Arabidopsis thaliana: one gene and its partner. The protein of the gene in region 2 interacts with the protein of the main gene of each other region in a pairwise test. Each region holds a gene or a part of one and is shown on either strand. Other genes may lie near its edges.

Region 1 (6,625 bases), 5.7 Mb from region 2:
TAAGCACCAGCATAGAATTCATTCCCAAGCATGTCCTGTATCATTCCACGAAACCGAACAAGAGTCTTGGGTTGCACCCACTTAATACTTGACGAATCAAGAATTGGAACCTAGTAGACAAAAGAAAACACTATCGGTTAATTAAGAAAAATATCTCAAAACAGATCCTTGAAAAAACCCAAATTAACCAATCTATGGATAGACTAAAACCTAAAGTAAGCTGATTTACTTAGAAACAGAGCCAAAGTACACGAAAAAATCAACCTATTATGCTAATTGGGTAGTAATTAATCAAAACATACTCAATTGCCCTAAACCCAAAAAAAAATAGAAACAGAGTAAAGGTTTTAGGGCAAACCTGGGAGATAGCAGATTCGTCGGAGAAGTAGTGACGGAACAAATCAACGACACCCCAGTCTTTTCCGACAGACGAAGCCGGATCGTAGCCTGAAGACAGAGCATTTACGAAGGAGAATCGGACGGCTCCTAAAGGGTTGGTCAGACAATCGTAAGCTGGTCCTCCCATATCTCAAAACCAACCTTTGATTTCACTCTTTACCAAAGTACTATGTAGCGAGAATCGCCAAGAATCTAGAGATGAAAGATTGAGTCTTTGCTCAAACACGAATTAAGGGCAATGTCAAGTGTGTATAGTTGGGCCTTTCCCGCCATATCTCCTAGGTTATTCCCGCCATTATCCATGCCCATTCTCCAACTTCCAACGCACCGTTTTGGACCCCTCTCCATACGATGTCGTTTCATGTGTATAATAAACTAATTCATTTGGCATATATGATCCTCTGACCATCTTGGTCTTAAGATTTGTTAAAAGTCAAACCCCAGACTCACAAACACAGAAACAGAGATCTATGAAGCTAAACATGACGAATTTACAACAGAGGAATTAGGTTTTCATATATTTAGTTTTTTCATAAGTCAAACAACATAAACCATGCCGACTTCTAAAAGAGAAACAGGTGGAACCTTAAGAGCCACGTCAGGTCCTCTACAGTTCCTTCTCAAGAAATTATAACCGAAATTAACTGCTAATCTCTTCATCACCGATGATCCTTGTTTCGCTTTCACATGTGAATGTCCCAATATAAACGCAGTTCCTGCTTCTTGCGCTGCCAGCAAATCCCTCAGCTCGCTTCTCAGTTCCGCATCTGCTTCTGCTGACGATGTTGATCCTTCGTCCTCGTAACTGTTTTCCTCAACCGCAAACCTCACCCGTCTTATGGTGGCGGTTGGGGCTGGTTCGGCCATTTGTATGACGTCTTCCATGCTTTCGACTGTGGAGAATCCGATGGAGACACTCTCTGGTTGGAGATTGTCTTCGATCTCGTAAGCTACTGTTCCGATCACGGCTAGTCTTGACTCGCTTGAGGATTCGTTGGACTGGACAGAACGAGCGTTGTCGTCTTCTTGTTGTGTTCTTTTGTGCCAATCGTAACGGATGAAATCCGCCAGCTTGCTTACGAGCTCTGTTTCGAATGAGTCCACGTCTTGATGGACGTCACGGTATCCATACCGAACGATGCATCTGTAAGAGCGGTGGTCAACGGGACCAACACGACCCACGAGGTATCTCTCAGCAGGTGGAACGAACGGGACAGGGACAGATTTCACGCAGACAAAGACAAGAACACGGTGGAAGGCAGGGAGGTTGGTGACGAACCGGGAGAAATTGGCGGGGATTCCAGAGGTTAAATCCGTGAAGACTAAACCGATACCTGGAACTCGAGAAATTCCGAGGCTTGGACCCAATGCAAGAAGCCATTCAAGCGAGACTTTATTCTGGAGATCAAACTCGTATTTCTTAATGGTGGTGTAGTGCCAAACGAACATGATGATCATGAATATTAGAGATAAGAGGATCGGAAGCCAAGCGCCTTCACGAAATTTGGTGAGTGAGGCCGAGAAGTAGAGAAGTTCTATTGAACCGAAAAAGAGAAGGAACGCTAGCGCTAGAATTGGAGGCTTGTGCCAGCAAAGAACAATGACTAATGAGGTAAGACATGTTGTCACTAGCATAACCGCCATTACAGCCAAACCTGCAACCAACCACAAAGGAATATAATCTCAAAGTCGAAGAATCCAAAATTCTTGAGTTGATAAAAGAATCTCATACCTGATGCATTTCCCAGGTGTTTGACATCTCTAAACCCGATAGTAACAGCGATGCAGAGAATCATGAGCATCCAGTTAATCTCCGGTATGTAAATCTGACCATGCATCTTATCGGACGTGTGAATGACTTTGACTCGAGGGAAGCATCCGAGAGACTGGCTCTGGTTTATGATTGAGAAAGTCCCACTGATGATCGCTTGGCTTCCCACAACAGAAGCAAGAATTGCTACAGCAAGCACAGGCCAGTGCAAACATTCTGTTCAAAACCATGGAGTTATATAAACAAAAGATCAGATTACGTTTTCAATGATCAACACCAAAAAAAAATTGAGTTCTTGAAGTAAGGCAAATTACTGACTTGGTACAGAGACGTAAAACCCAATTGCATGAGCAGAATGGTGATGCCGGGATAAGTAAGCAGCTTGCCCCATGTATGCCAATATAAGAGCCGGATAAACCAGGAAGGTAAACGCAATCTACAGCAAACAAAACAAAGATTTATTGAAACCTGTGGCGATATAACAATAAGTAAATCATCCAAGCTAAAGTAGAAACTAACCTGAATTGCTGCGTAATTGAAGTGACCAAGATCAGCAAACATGGCCTCAGCACCTAAAACAAAGACTCAACGAGTTAGATTACTGACATTATTTATGGCGACATTAACAATATCGATTTCTTATATATCTCACCAGTTATGCACAACAAGATCCCGCCTAGAGACATCCATCCGCTTACTCTCGTCTTTCTCAAGAACATGAACATGTATGTAGGAGAAAGAGCTTTGTATATATGAGGATTCCACTGTATTATATTGTACAAGCCAATACCACTTATACAGAGCAGCCAAGTGAGGACAATAGGCGCGAAAACAAACCCAACACGATGTGTCCCAAAATGCTGAAGCGAGAAAAGGCAGACTAGTATGAAGCAGGTAATAGGAATTACTGCATCTGCACGTTTGAACAACAAAGGAAGCCATCATTCATCAGAACTCAAGTAGCAAAAACTAACACTACCCAGTCTTTGTGTACTTACATTGGTGATGTTCTTTAGACATATTCAGCTCAAGACCTGACACAGCAGAGAAAACTACATACAAGAAAAAGAAAAGATTAGAAAACTCTTTTAACTAGCAATTGGACACTGGAATATCTGTCTACAAACACAGAAGCATACATACCGGAGATAGCTGGAGTGAGAAGTCCATCTCCAATAACCATACAAGTCCCAAGAAGAACAAGAAGCAGCAAAGCAGTGTGTAACCACTTGTGTTTCTCCAGATATCTTTTCACACACGAGTCATGGTTCTTCTCCGGTGGATGCTCCAGCTTATAAGTGGACAGTGCCTCATCAGAGACTTGTCGGTTTGGGAGGAGGCTAACTTTGACATGACGGCAGATCAATGAGTACAAAGCAAAAGTTCCACCTGAAAACAAATGTAACAAACCTTCATAAGCAAAGCAAATAAAGTTTCTCGATGATTTTCTGCTCTGAAAGTGTCTCTTCCCCTCACCTTCTCCGTTATCATCAGCTCGGAGGACAATGAAGACATACTTAAGCAAAGGAACCAAAGTTAAAGTCCAGAAAACAAAAGACATAACACCGTAGATCTCTTCATTGGTCTCTGAATGTTGAATGTCCTCAGCAAAAGTGCTCTTAAAGACATAAAGCGGAGAGATACTCAAGTCTCCATAGACAACACCAAGACTCTGGTAAGCAAGAAGCAAAACCGACCTCCATGATTCCTTCTGCATAATTGTCAAAGTTCCAATCTTTATTCAGCTCAAAATTCCAAAATTGAGCAAATCTAAAAGAAAATGGACAACAAACCTTAGAAGAACGAGAACCACAGCATTTTCCGAGATTGAGATCCATGGTTCTTAAATGTTCAGCCTAACACGCTAAAGCTGAACAACCAAAGAAAGAAGAAGATAGATTTATGAATCTGAAGCAATTGAAAAGTAATGTCGAAAAGAGTGAAACCTACAAAGTAACAATAAATAGGACAACCAAACTCTGTTCCCAAATTAGAAGGAAGAAAACAAAGTAGGCCACATTCACGCACATGCCATTCTCATATCCACGAATTTAGATAAAACCCAGAAAAAGAAGAACAATCAAAAACCCTAAATCTCTAAAATTGAACAACAATTACCCAGAAAATGAAAAGACTTGAAAAGTGTAGAGCCTAGTGTTAGGCTTTTAGCCATAAATGGAGATAAATCAATTATTAGCTTTTGCCCATTTTGCCAACTGTGTTTTTTCCACTTACAGAATTTTTAATTGAAGTATGAATTTTTCTGGGTGGATGACGTGAATCGATGTGTAGGAGTGAAGAAAGAGATGATCTGCTTATCATTGAATTAAAGATATTGAAGACAAAGAACGACGATACAAGATAAGAACCCATAGCCTCCACATGCTATAGCCAAATTAAAAAAACGTCTTTGTCTTTGCGTTTTCTCGGGGAAAAAAAGAAAGAGAGCAAACGTGGCGAGAATATTTACAGGTGAAGAGACAGAAACACGTGAGTGCTCTCCCGACAGTTACATGACATCTAAAGGAAAAAGCTTTTCTTTTTTTTCTTATACTTACCAACAGAATTTGCGCCATTGATTTTGCAAGCTTTGTACTATTGATAAGCCTCAAAATCTGGTCATCACCAACCTCACTCACTCTCTTTTCTCTCTATTTTCCGAAACTTTTTGTTGCAATAACAAAAATCGAAACTGTTTTTTTTTTTATTTCTCTCTGTATCAGTCAACAACAATAATATATTTTGTTAAAAGGTATATATAACGCGTAATTAATATATACTTATATTAGTATTTGTTACTATCTATTGATAGTCACTAGTATTAAATTTTTAATACTACCTTATTATTTCTCTTTTATAATTTGTGAATTTCTTTAACTTGGCAGATTGTAAGAAAGAAAAAAATTGATATGAAATGTATTTAAGATTTTGTCCCTATTATGGATTATGGTGAACAACTAGATGATATTTAATAAATGAATAGCAACATATAAAATAATTAATAACAAATCTATATATACAGTTATAAACTTTTAGAATGGTTTTATGGCATTTTAAAGGTTTTTTTTAAAAAATTTGGTTGCATCTACTTTTTTATATCTCATTTTTTTACAAATAATTATTATTATTTAACACATGTCTTTATTTGTACACATCTCTGAATTGTTTTAGTGTGTAAAAATTAGTTGTTTAGCTAATGAATCATAGATTTACAAATTTATTCTATAAAAGTTTGTTGATTTTTAGTAATCTATAAATTTAAAAATTTGTTTCGAAATAATTGAATTTGAAGTCATTGATTGGTGCTCTATTTCTATTCCTTTCTTTTTATGCTTCTTTCTCTTTCACTCCTCTTTTATGTGTTTCTTCCTCTACCTTTTTGTTTTTGGGGTGTTTTCTTTCTCTCCCTTTTGTTAGGTGTTGCGCAATTTCAACCTTTATACATTATTTTCTTGCTATCCCATTTGACATTATTGTAGTCGAACAATTATAAAACCAGATCGGAATCCAATTCTCCAAATCGATTCAGCTTGCTCTTCACAACAATCTTTTCTATTATTATATAATTCAAACTTTCAAAGCATATAGTAGACTTGGTCGGTGGATTCAATGCATGTATAAAGAGACTTATTACCAAATCAAATAATAAATTAATATTATATGCATGCGTTGCATGACGACAAATCACACTAACATTTGATATTTCAAAGCAAAGAACAAAATGTATTTTATATGATTTAAGATTCTATACGTGATTTGGGGAATGCTGTCTTTTCAGTTTGGTGTATGATGTATCAGTCAAATGTGAACGATATTTGTTTTTTGCTAGTCAAAAACTTATACACTGTTGATATGTGAAGCTCACTAGAGAGACGATTGTTTTCTGGAGTCTCTTATATCATCAAGATTTTGCTTGGAACACTCTTTTTCTGGAGTCTGTTTTAGTGAAGATTAGGTTCGCCATGGGTTTTTTGCAAGTTATTTTCTTGATTGCCAAAAGCAGGTTTTAGGATATACTAATGATTCTTAAGAATAGAACTTATTATTTATACTTATATATATATATATATATATATATTGGGCACAAATATAGACCAATCATTTTCCGAAGTTTTAAGATTAAAAAGTTCAAAATTGGGCGATTTAATTAATGATTATGAAATTACAAATCATATTTTAGGATTGCTGAATCCCTCTTTCATTATAATAATGTGACTGTTACAGTAATTAGTGTACAAGAAAATGTTTGTCGTCTACTATCAACTCTTATTAATTTTTGCAATTTTGCCAAAATAAAAATGAATTCGAATTGATCTTACACGAAACCATTTTGTTTTTACTTATTAGAGTTTCTTAACCAATTGACCATTTTCTTCTTCTTTTTATTGTTTACCCGCAAACACAATCTAGGAATGAAAATCTTGTTTTTCTTGGCAATCGGCGGCATATATATTA
Region 2 (8,184 bases):
TTCTGAGAAATAACTTGTCCAAACCGAAGAAACAGTTGAGCATCAGAAGCACTCATGGAAGAGCAATTGACAGAATGAGGAGTCTTGAGATTTGCATACTCATCGACGTAGCACGAACCAGCCAGCGTCGCTGACGTGTCAGTCGCAGCAGGTGGTTGTTCCGATAGCATAAAACTGCCGAGAACACGAGTCACCTGGTGCATTGTGGGTCGATCATTCGGCTGTCTTTTGGTGCATAGGAGTGCCAGTTGGAAAACTTTCTTCACCACACCGAGATCTTTACACGTCGATGTGATGTCTGGATCTGCCATTTCCATCACTTCATTGTTCCCCGTCTTTGACATTATCTGATGTAAGTGAATCAATGAAAACAAGATTACGGACTTGACCTAAACAGAGCAGCTGAGAGAGATAGGCAAGAAAGAACAAACCAGATGGTGGAGATTGGATTCGTCATCAACGGCTTTCCTTCGGGTTAACAACTCAAGAAGGACTATTCCATAACTGTAGACATCGGATTTCTCAGTGAGCCGTGAAGTGCGAGCATACTCGGGGTCTATGTAACCTATCGTGCCCATCACGTAAGTTGAAGTATGTGACTTTGACACACACAAGCTTTTCGCTATTCCAAAATCTGTCAAACGAGCCTCTAAGTCTTTGTCCAAGAGAATGTTGGACGACTTCACGTCTCTGTGAATGATCCTTGGACTACAGTCATGGTGTAGATAAGCTAAACCTTGTGCTGCACCATATGCTATCTTAAGCCGTGTGTCCCAATCAAGAGTCTTTTTCTTCGTAGGGCCTTTACAAAACACACAAGCAAGTTGTTATGTCACAGAAGATTCAAATAATTTTCTATGTTTGGCGATGAGACTTACCATGAAGAAGATCCCAGAGGCTACCATTTTCCAAATAGTCATAGAACAGAAGACTCCCCAAGTGAGAGAGGGAATAAGCTTGTAGGCTCACAAGATTTCTGTGCTTGATGCTACTTAGCATCTCGAGTTCTGTTTCAAACTGTTTCATTGACTGTGGGTTGTGAGAGTAAAGCCGCTTAATCGCAACCGGTTTACAATTCTTCAAAACACATTTGTATACAGTGCTTGATGCTCCGTGCCCAATGATATACTTCTCACTTAGATTCTCTGTCATTCTCATGATATCCTCGTAAACGTGGAGTGCCATGTTCATATGAAGGATGACGAGCTTCGGTGTCGAATAAGTTACTGATGTCACCAGGAAATTTAAGGATTAACTATTGGATTACATTGTAGGTGAAGAACATTCGTAAAGTGGTTTGGAGAGTAGACCTGGTTTGTCAAGTGATCCATCAAGAAAAGGAGGAGGATTATGCGGTCGGCAAGCTGCTATTAAGACCATGAGAAGGATCACAAGTCCCCCAATAGCTATTCCAAGAATAGCTGCTCTAGAGATTGACACTGCAGACAAAACATGGATAGAAACATGAGCTTTAATTATCTTAGGTTTTGTGAATGGAAGCTTTTAGAAGAATGTAATCACCTCGTACAGTTCGACGAGAATCATGACACGGTGAGTTTAGCCAACTACCGCAAAGACCAGGATTGCCAATGAAGCTTTATCCAAAAACATAAACATAGATATTAGCAAACAAAACAAAATGCACAATACCAAAACCTGCTAAATTACCATACCTGTCTGGTGAAAATCTTGAGAAGTTATTGTTCTTAGGGATATCACCTACGAGGTTGTTATGAGATACATTCCTATAAGAGTTAGTGAAGATTGCAGGGTTATATTCTTAGCAAAAGATGCACAAAGAGGGACAAAAAATGTTTCAGAACCAAAGGTGCCTACTTACAATACAGTGAGACTGAGACAGTTGGCTAATGAACCAACATTACCAGTCAGGTTATTATTTTCCAGTCTCCTGCAAGCAATTTTAAGAAACACAACATTAGATAGATCACCAACCCAATACATGTTCCTGGATCACACTATAGTGACCTCATTATTGTGTATACAGAGTTTTAGTTTCATTCTACAAAAACAATTTCTTAACAGCTTGGAAGGGATAAGAGGAAGATTGCTTACAGCAAAATTATGTTCTGTAATTGGTTAAGCTCTTCTGGAATTGGGCCAGAGATATCATTATTTGAAAGATCTCTGCAACCACAAACACACAAATTCAGAACAGTAATTGAGATAAATGAAAAAAACTCTAACCAAGCAGATAGAAGTTAACTTCTTACATTTCCATGATGCTTCTTAGATTTCCAAAGTCGCCTGGAACTACACCAGTTATATGATTTCTACTCAAGTTCCTATAACAAGAATGCAAGAGTTCACAAACCATTTTCATCTTTTGCTAGAAATAAACAATAAAACTGGAGGTCTTATGGATGCTCACATCTTGAGAAGATGCTCCAAATCACCAAGGGAAGAAGGAATGATTCCATTTATCTTGTTGTTGGAAAGATCCCTTCAAATGTCATTAAATTTAATAAATGTGAGACAAGGCACATATAATGATGTATACTTCACAGAAAACAAGAAACACTTACAATGTATCTAAGTTACCGATACGAGATAGCTCAACCGGGATTGGACCTTTGATATTGTTGCTGGACAGATTACTGGTTGAACCGATAAATCAAAGGCAACCAAAAACTCAGTAGTTAATGACTTGAAATTCGAAAAAACAAACGCTGTGGAACTATATATTATATAAGATTAGAGAAATTCTCAGCGTCGATACTTACAGGTAAGTCATACTTTCTAGCTTTTGAAATGCTCGGGGTATAGTGCCACTAAACTTGTTCCCATGAACATTTCTACATTACATTAATGAGACACAAAATCATATAAAGCACCAATCTTGAACATTCAAGTGAGAAGTTTTCAGAGAAAGAGATACATACAAGCTGTTTAGATTTGTGCAAGAGCTCAGATGATCAGGTATAGGTCCTTCCAGATCATTGTTGGCCACATTCCTATATGTACATAGTTCATATAAGCATAAGAACATCAAAACATGTCAAGCATAGGAAGAACTACTTACAGATCAAACAAGTCAGTAAGCTTCCCAAGCTCTGGTGGTATATGACCCGTGAGATGATTATCATTGAGTTCCCTATGAATATTTTACAAATAGTTGATAAGGAAACACAACTTAGTAGTGACTGTATGCAAAAAGAGAAGTGAAGAGAAGGTTGGTCATACAGGTAATGGAGTTTTGACATGTTTCCAAGCTCAGGTGGAATTGAACCAGTCAGCTTGTTACTGTGCAAATACCTAGAGATAAAGCCAAAAAGATAAATCACTATCATTAACATGGTATGACATTTGACTCCAAACTGAAAACAAACAGGTAAAGAATTACAATTTCTCGGTGAAAGTAAGATTTCCGAGAATCGGAGGAATAGATCCACTCAACAAGTTGCCACTTAGATCTCTGTAAAAGAAAACATATAACCTAAGTTCATGAAAATGTTATAAGTAGCTTCATTGATTAGAAGAAAAGTACTTACAAGACTGCAAGGGCTTGCATGAGACCAATCACTGATGGAATCTTCCCAGAGAGTTGATTGCCTTGCAATGATCTAAGATAAGAAAATGATCTTCTTTAAAAGAAAACAAAGGCTAGCCAAAATTTAAAGCAAAAGATTAGTAGAGGTGAGAACTAACAATGTTGCAACTTGCAGGAAGCCGATGTCAAAAGGGATCTCACCAGTTAGCTGATTGTAGGACAAGTCCCTGAGTTCGTAATAAGCAAACCAGTTAAGTAGATTTTCTTAAGTAACCCAAATTACAGTAATGATGTTTAGAAGTAGAGAAAGAGGCACATACAAAACCTGGAAGGCAGTGCAATTTCCTATCGTCTCAGGTATACTACCAGTCAAACTGTTGTTTCTTACGTCACTGATTCAATATCAAAACAAAGTCAGATATTTGATATTTACAAAAGAACTCATCATACTATTCAGATGTGCAAGAAGACTCACAAATACCAAAGACCAGTCAGTTGACACAAATCTGGAGAAATGTTACCGACTAAGTTGTTTCCTCGCAACCCACTGCTCATCATAGTACAACAATTATCACCGGGTAATGAAGAGACATTGACAGACTTCAAAAAACATTGACACTTACAGATACTGAAGAACTTCATTCCAGTAAATAAGTCTTGGTATCTCACCACTGAGTTTATTCTGTGCCAAGTCCCTGCAATTGAAATTACACATGTATGATCACCTATATAGCTAAAAGTAGTAAGACATGTAAGAATCATGGGGAACATACAGAATTTTCAGGTTTGGAATCTGTGAAAGTGTTGAAGGGATCGGTCCTATCAATTGGTTATTCTTCAGAATCCTGGACAAAGTAAAAATCCATATTCCACATGGTGAGTATATTTTTAGCAATGACATATGAAGACTAGTAGCAGAATAACTAGCTACTTACAGCTGCTCAAGTTGCTTCAACTTCGAAATCGAAAACGGTATGTCACCACTTAATTCATTGAAGGATAAGTCTCTGAATAAAAAACAACATGAACACACTTCATCAAATAAAACCTCTATGAACAAAAGTTTAATGGTAGAATAACACCAATCACTGTTCTTACAAGTTTTGCAAAGAAGAACAGTCACCAATCTCATCAGGGATTTGTCCAGACAAGCGATTACCTCGCAGATCACTACATTAGAAAAAAACAGAAGACAAAAGTCACAACTCAGAGAGTGGAATAGAATTAAAGTAAGATACTTTATTTCATGCTACAGTGAATGTTGAAACAGTTACATTGACAAGAGACTCTTGAGATCTCCAATAGCAGGTGAGATTTCTCCATCAAGATTCAAATCTGACAAATTACTACAAAACATAGAAAACACACACAAAACAAATTACAACTTTTTCCCACAAGAACACCAAAAACCACTGTAATAGTAATCTAAAGGAATGAAGAAACTTACAGAGCAACAACATTGAAGGTGACATTTTCACAAGACACACCTCTCCAGACACAATAATCCGAAGAAGGTGAAGTTGTCCAGTCATAAAGAACATTGTTCACATCTTTGAATGACTTCTTAATCTCCAGCAACGTTGCTCCTTTAATTTTGTTTTAAGGATATTTTATTAACACACACGCACAAAAACAAAAAAAAATATTTGTCAGTTCTTGAGAAGATTAAAAATTCAACTTCCAAGAAAACAAAATAAAACTCAAACCCTAATTTATTCAAAGCTTCTTTTGATTCTATAGAAGACCCACCAAGTAAAAAAAAACCATTACAAAAAGCAAAAATAGAAAATAACAAGTACCCAGATCTCATTTTCACCAAATGAAACTTCAAAAATCATATAAAAATCTCATCTTTAAGTTTTTTTCACTAATATAAAACAAAAAGACGAAAATCTTGAACTTGAAGAAGCATGCATCAGTATAATAACTGACCCTCCTCTGAAGTCACAGTAGCTACTAAGCTCAAGCAGAAGAGAAACCCAAGAAGAACAATATCTCTAAACAGAGCCATTTCTCACACACAGTCTTAAAACGACTGCGTTTTTAGATATACTTTAAAAGCTTTCAAGTCTCCATGAAGAAGAAACAGAGGATAGAGAAGAAGAAGAGAACCGTATTATGTACCGACATTAGATTTTTTTTCTTTCTTTTATTATGATTTCTACAGAAATTTGTTTTTGTTTTTTTACTTTAACCGAGAAAAAATGATTTTTATCGTTCCATCACATCAAATTCTGGCGGAAATTTACAGTGGTTTCATTGAGTGCTCAGACGACAGAAATACAGAGTAAGATAGAGATGGAGAGAGAAAGAGAGAGAGTCTTTAAAGAGAGGAGATTGTACAAATGTAGGGACCTGTTGTGTAAGAGAGAGAGATGAAGGGAAGAAGAATTATTTGGGGAGGATAAAGTTAAAAACCCCATCATCTTTTATCTCTCTGCCAGAGTTCTGAAGCTTTGCAGAAGAGAGAGATAGAGTGAGTGAGAGGGAGTGATTTTGTTTCTCTCTCTTGAAGGGTAAAACGGTCATAAAATGTAGAAGAAGAAGGAGAAGAAGAACATGTTAATGGCAGTGGTGAATAAAGGAGGTCGCTTTCGTTGCCCAATACTTACGAGTCTTTGTCTCTCTGTGGCTTGTTTCACAGATGACCCATATCAATAAATCCATCTTATGGGTACTTTTGTAATTATGTATTTTTATATGATTTTAGTGTAATTTTTTTGTTTGCTTAACATGTTCTTCTTCATCTTCTTACTTCAATTACTAATTTAAATTCAGGAGTTTACAAAAAGTTTGGTTCAGTTTTCTCTTCTTTAATTATTAGTATAGTTGTTGTGTTTTTGTCAACGTTTTTTAGTATAGTGAACGTGTGATTTCTAAGTGTTTTTGTTTATTACTAAATTTAGAAATATGCATGCCAATGATTTTTGGTTTAGCATCAACACAAAACTTAATAAAATATGATTGGTTTTAGGATGTTAACCGGTTTGGTTGGCTCCGGTCGGTTTGTCACAAAATTAATATTTTGAAGCTTTGAGAACGAAGTGGACTAAAACTAAAAGGGTCACAGGCCCAACAAAAGAAGGAAGAACTTAAAAAATAATAATTCCTTTTCATTTTAACTTCTCTTTTTTTTTTTGTTAAATCATTTATTTGTTTCAATAAAAATACACATAATATTATCTTTTCTCAAAAAGTACTATATAGTTAGAAAACTACATATTTATTTTAACCCAAATTATTATTTTTCCATTCCTTACACACTGTACGTTACACTTTTTATTATCATTTGCTGTACAACGTTAATATTTTTAACCATTTCTGCAATTGTTTACCTCTTTTTCATCCGCAAATTTCTAATTAAATTATATGTTGAATGTTCATAGCCATAATAATAATTTGTCCAACGGAGATAAGACGCCTCTGGTGTTATCCCCAATGTCGTCACTCCACGCTACCGTGAGCCTCCCACTGTTCTCCAACTCAAACCACAAAAAGCTAACGTGCGCAGCTACATTATCACCTCCGCCATGGAAACAGAGCCGGCGAGTTATCTCCGTCTCCTTTTTTCTCTCCCGTCTCCTCCTCCTCCCTAACGGTACACGCATCTCTCTTCAAATTCACCAATCCGATTCTCAATTTCACGAACTCGATTTTCAATATCACCAATTCGACTTTTGTTCATTTCAAATTTGGTTATTTATATGTTGATGATGATGATCAGATGCTATGGCTGGTGGCTTAATGGATAAATTGGATAAATACGTCAAGAGGTAACATTAAATCGTCTCCGATGCTTATTCCTTTGAATTCTGAAGTTAGATTTTGAAATGTTTGGTGAATTATCTAAAACTTAAAACCAGTTATTGAATAGGAAGAAACTTGATCCACTTGAAGCATATGTACCACCAGTGATTCTAGCTCAGTTACAAATCCAGGATCTTGGTAAAATTTCTCTGTTTTTTTGTTACACATTTGTTCTTAAAACTCTTGCTATATAAAACTTACACTCATGTTTATTTATGATGTTGGAGAGGGATTTTTGAATGTGGAGAAACCTGAATTTGAGGCGTGTAGACGCCAATTGCGGTCTGGTCCTGCTAGCTCTCTTCGTGTAAACATTCGAGCTGTAAGTTTTTAAAGCTCACTTGATGTCACTCATTTGGTTTCTGTTTGATGATGAAATGTGTAATGCAAACTCTTTCAGGTTGCTCAGTATGCTTCAGATGATGGTTTCTCCAAAACCGCCACTGATGATGTTGATCGATGTTTAAGGTACCGACAATGTTTGAATGAATGATGATGACCTTTGCGTGTGTAATTTATGTTGGCTTTTCCTTCTATAGAGCATTGGAAGAACTGGATTCGTTGTTTCTACGTGCGTCGAGGAAAGATTCAAATGCAACTGTTGTATTGATGAAGTCACAGCTTGGAACAGCGTTAACCGCACTGGACAGTCTTCTACAAACAGTTCCTTCTCAAGTGCTTGATAAAGGGAAAGCTATGGTGGAAGTCTACAGATCAGCATCTGAAGAAGATGCGGGAAGTGATGATTTAGAATCCTCTGAGATAAAGCAGCTCCAGTCCATACTGTGAGAGGGGAGGTCACAGGACTATTACTATCCAAAAACAGTTGTTAATCTTACAGCATTGGTATCAAAAACTCTTCTGATTCA

What was found.
Region 1: the proteins of ER (region 2) and KT2 interact in a protein complementation assay, tested with the Arabidopsis thaliana proteins (one large-scale study listed by BioGRID).

Annotation. Positions count from the first base shown.
Region 1 is NC_003071.7:16,928,828-16,935,452, reverse strand, and holds KT2 (potassium transporter 2), read right to left. Parts: upstream 4,899-6,625; 5' UTR 4,289-4,898; exon of another isoform or gene 4,041-4,288; 5' UTR 4,009-4,040; coding exon 3,964-4,008; intron 3,882-3,963; coding exon 3,647-3,881; intron 3,560-3,646; coding exon 3,314-3,559; intron 3,223-3,313; coding exon 3,169-3,222; intron 3,084-3,168; coding exon 2,823-3,083; intron 2,743-2,822; coding exon 2,690-2,742; intron 2,607-2,689; coding exon 2,489-2,606; intron 2,387-2,488; coding exon 2,132-2,386; intron 2,055-2,131; coding exon 937-2,054; 3' UTR 784-936; downstream 1-783. Other genes in the region: ETG1 (E2F target protein 1 (ETG1)), read right to left, coding at 1-110, 359-526. UniProt on the Arabidopsis thaliana protein: Low-affinity potassium transporter. Could mediate the potassium-dependent cell expansion in growing tissues.
Region 2 is NC_003071.7:11,208,377-11,216,560, forward strand, and holds the start of ER (Leucine-rich receptor-like protein kinase family protein), read right to left. Parts: upstream 6,287-8,184; 5' UTR 5,520-6,286; coding exon 5,441-5,519; intron 5,095-5,440; coding exon 4,956-5,094; intron 4,855-4,955; coding exon 4,783-4,854; intron 4,679-4,782; coding exon 4,607-4,678; intron 4,516-4,606; coding exon 4,444-4,515; intron 4,354-4,443; coding exon 4,282-4,353; intron 4,204-4,281; coding exon 4,132-4,203; intron 4,056-4,131; coding exon 3,984-4,055; intron 3,901-3,983; coding exon 3,829-3,900; intron 3,736-3,828; coding exon 3,667-3,735; intron 3,582-3,666; coding exon 3,510-3,581; intron 3,434-3,509; coding exon 3,362-3,433; intron 3,274-3,361; coding exon 3,202-3,273; intron 3,113-3,201; coding exon 3,041-3,112; intron 2,973-3,040; coding exon 2,901-2,972; intron 2,814-2,900; coding exon 2,742-2,813; intron 2,616-2,741; coding exon 2,544-2,615; intron 2,462-2,543; coding exon 2,390-2,461; intron 2,304-2,389; coding exon 2,232-2,303; intron 2,146-2,231; and 15 more. Other genes in the region: AT2G26340 (uncharacterized protein), read left to right, coding at 6,878-7,106, 7,233-7,281, 7,383-7,453, 7,543-7,637, 7,725-7,783, 7,855-8,100. UniProt on the Arabidopsis thaliana protein: Receptor kinase that, together with ERL1 and ERL2, regulates aerial architecture, including inflorescence (e.g. shoot apical meristem-originating organ shape, elongation of the internode and pedicels, and adaxial-abaxial polarity), and stomatal patterning (e.g. density and clustering), probably by tuning cell division and expansion.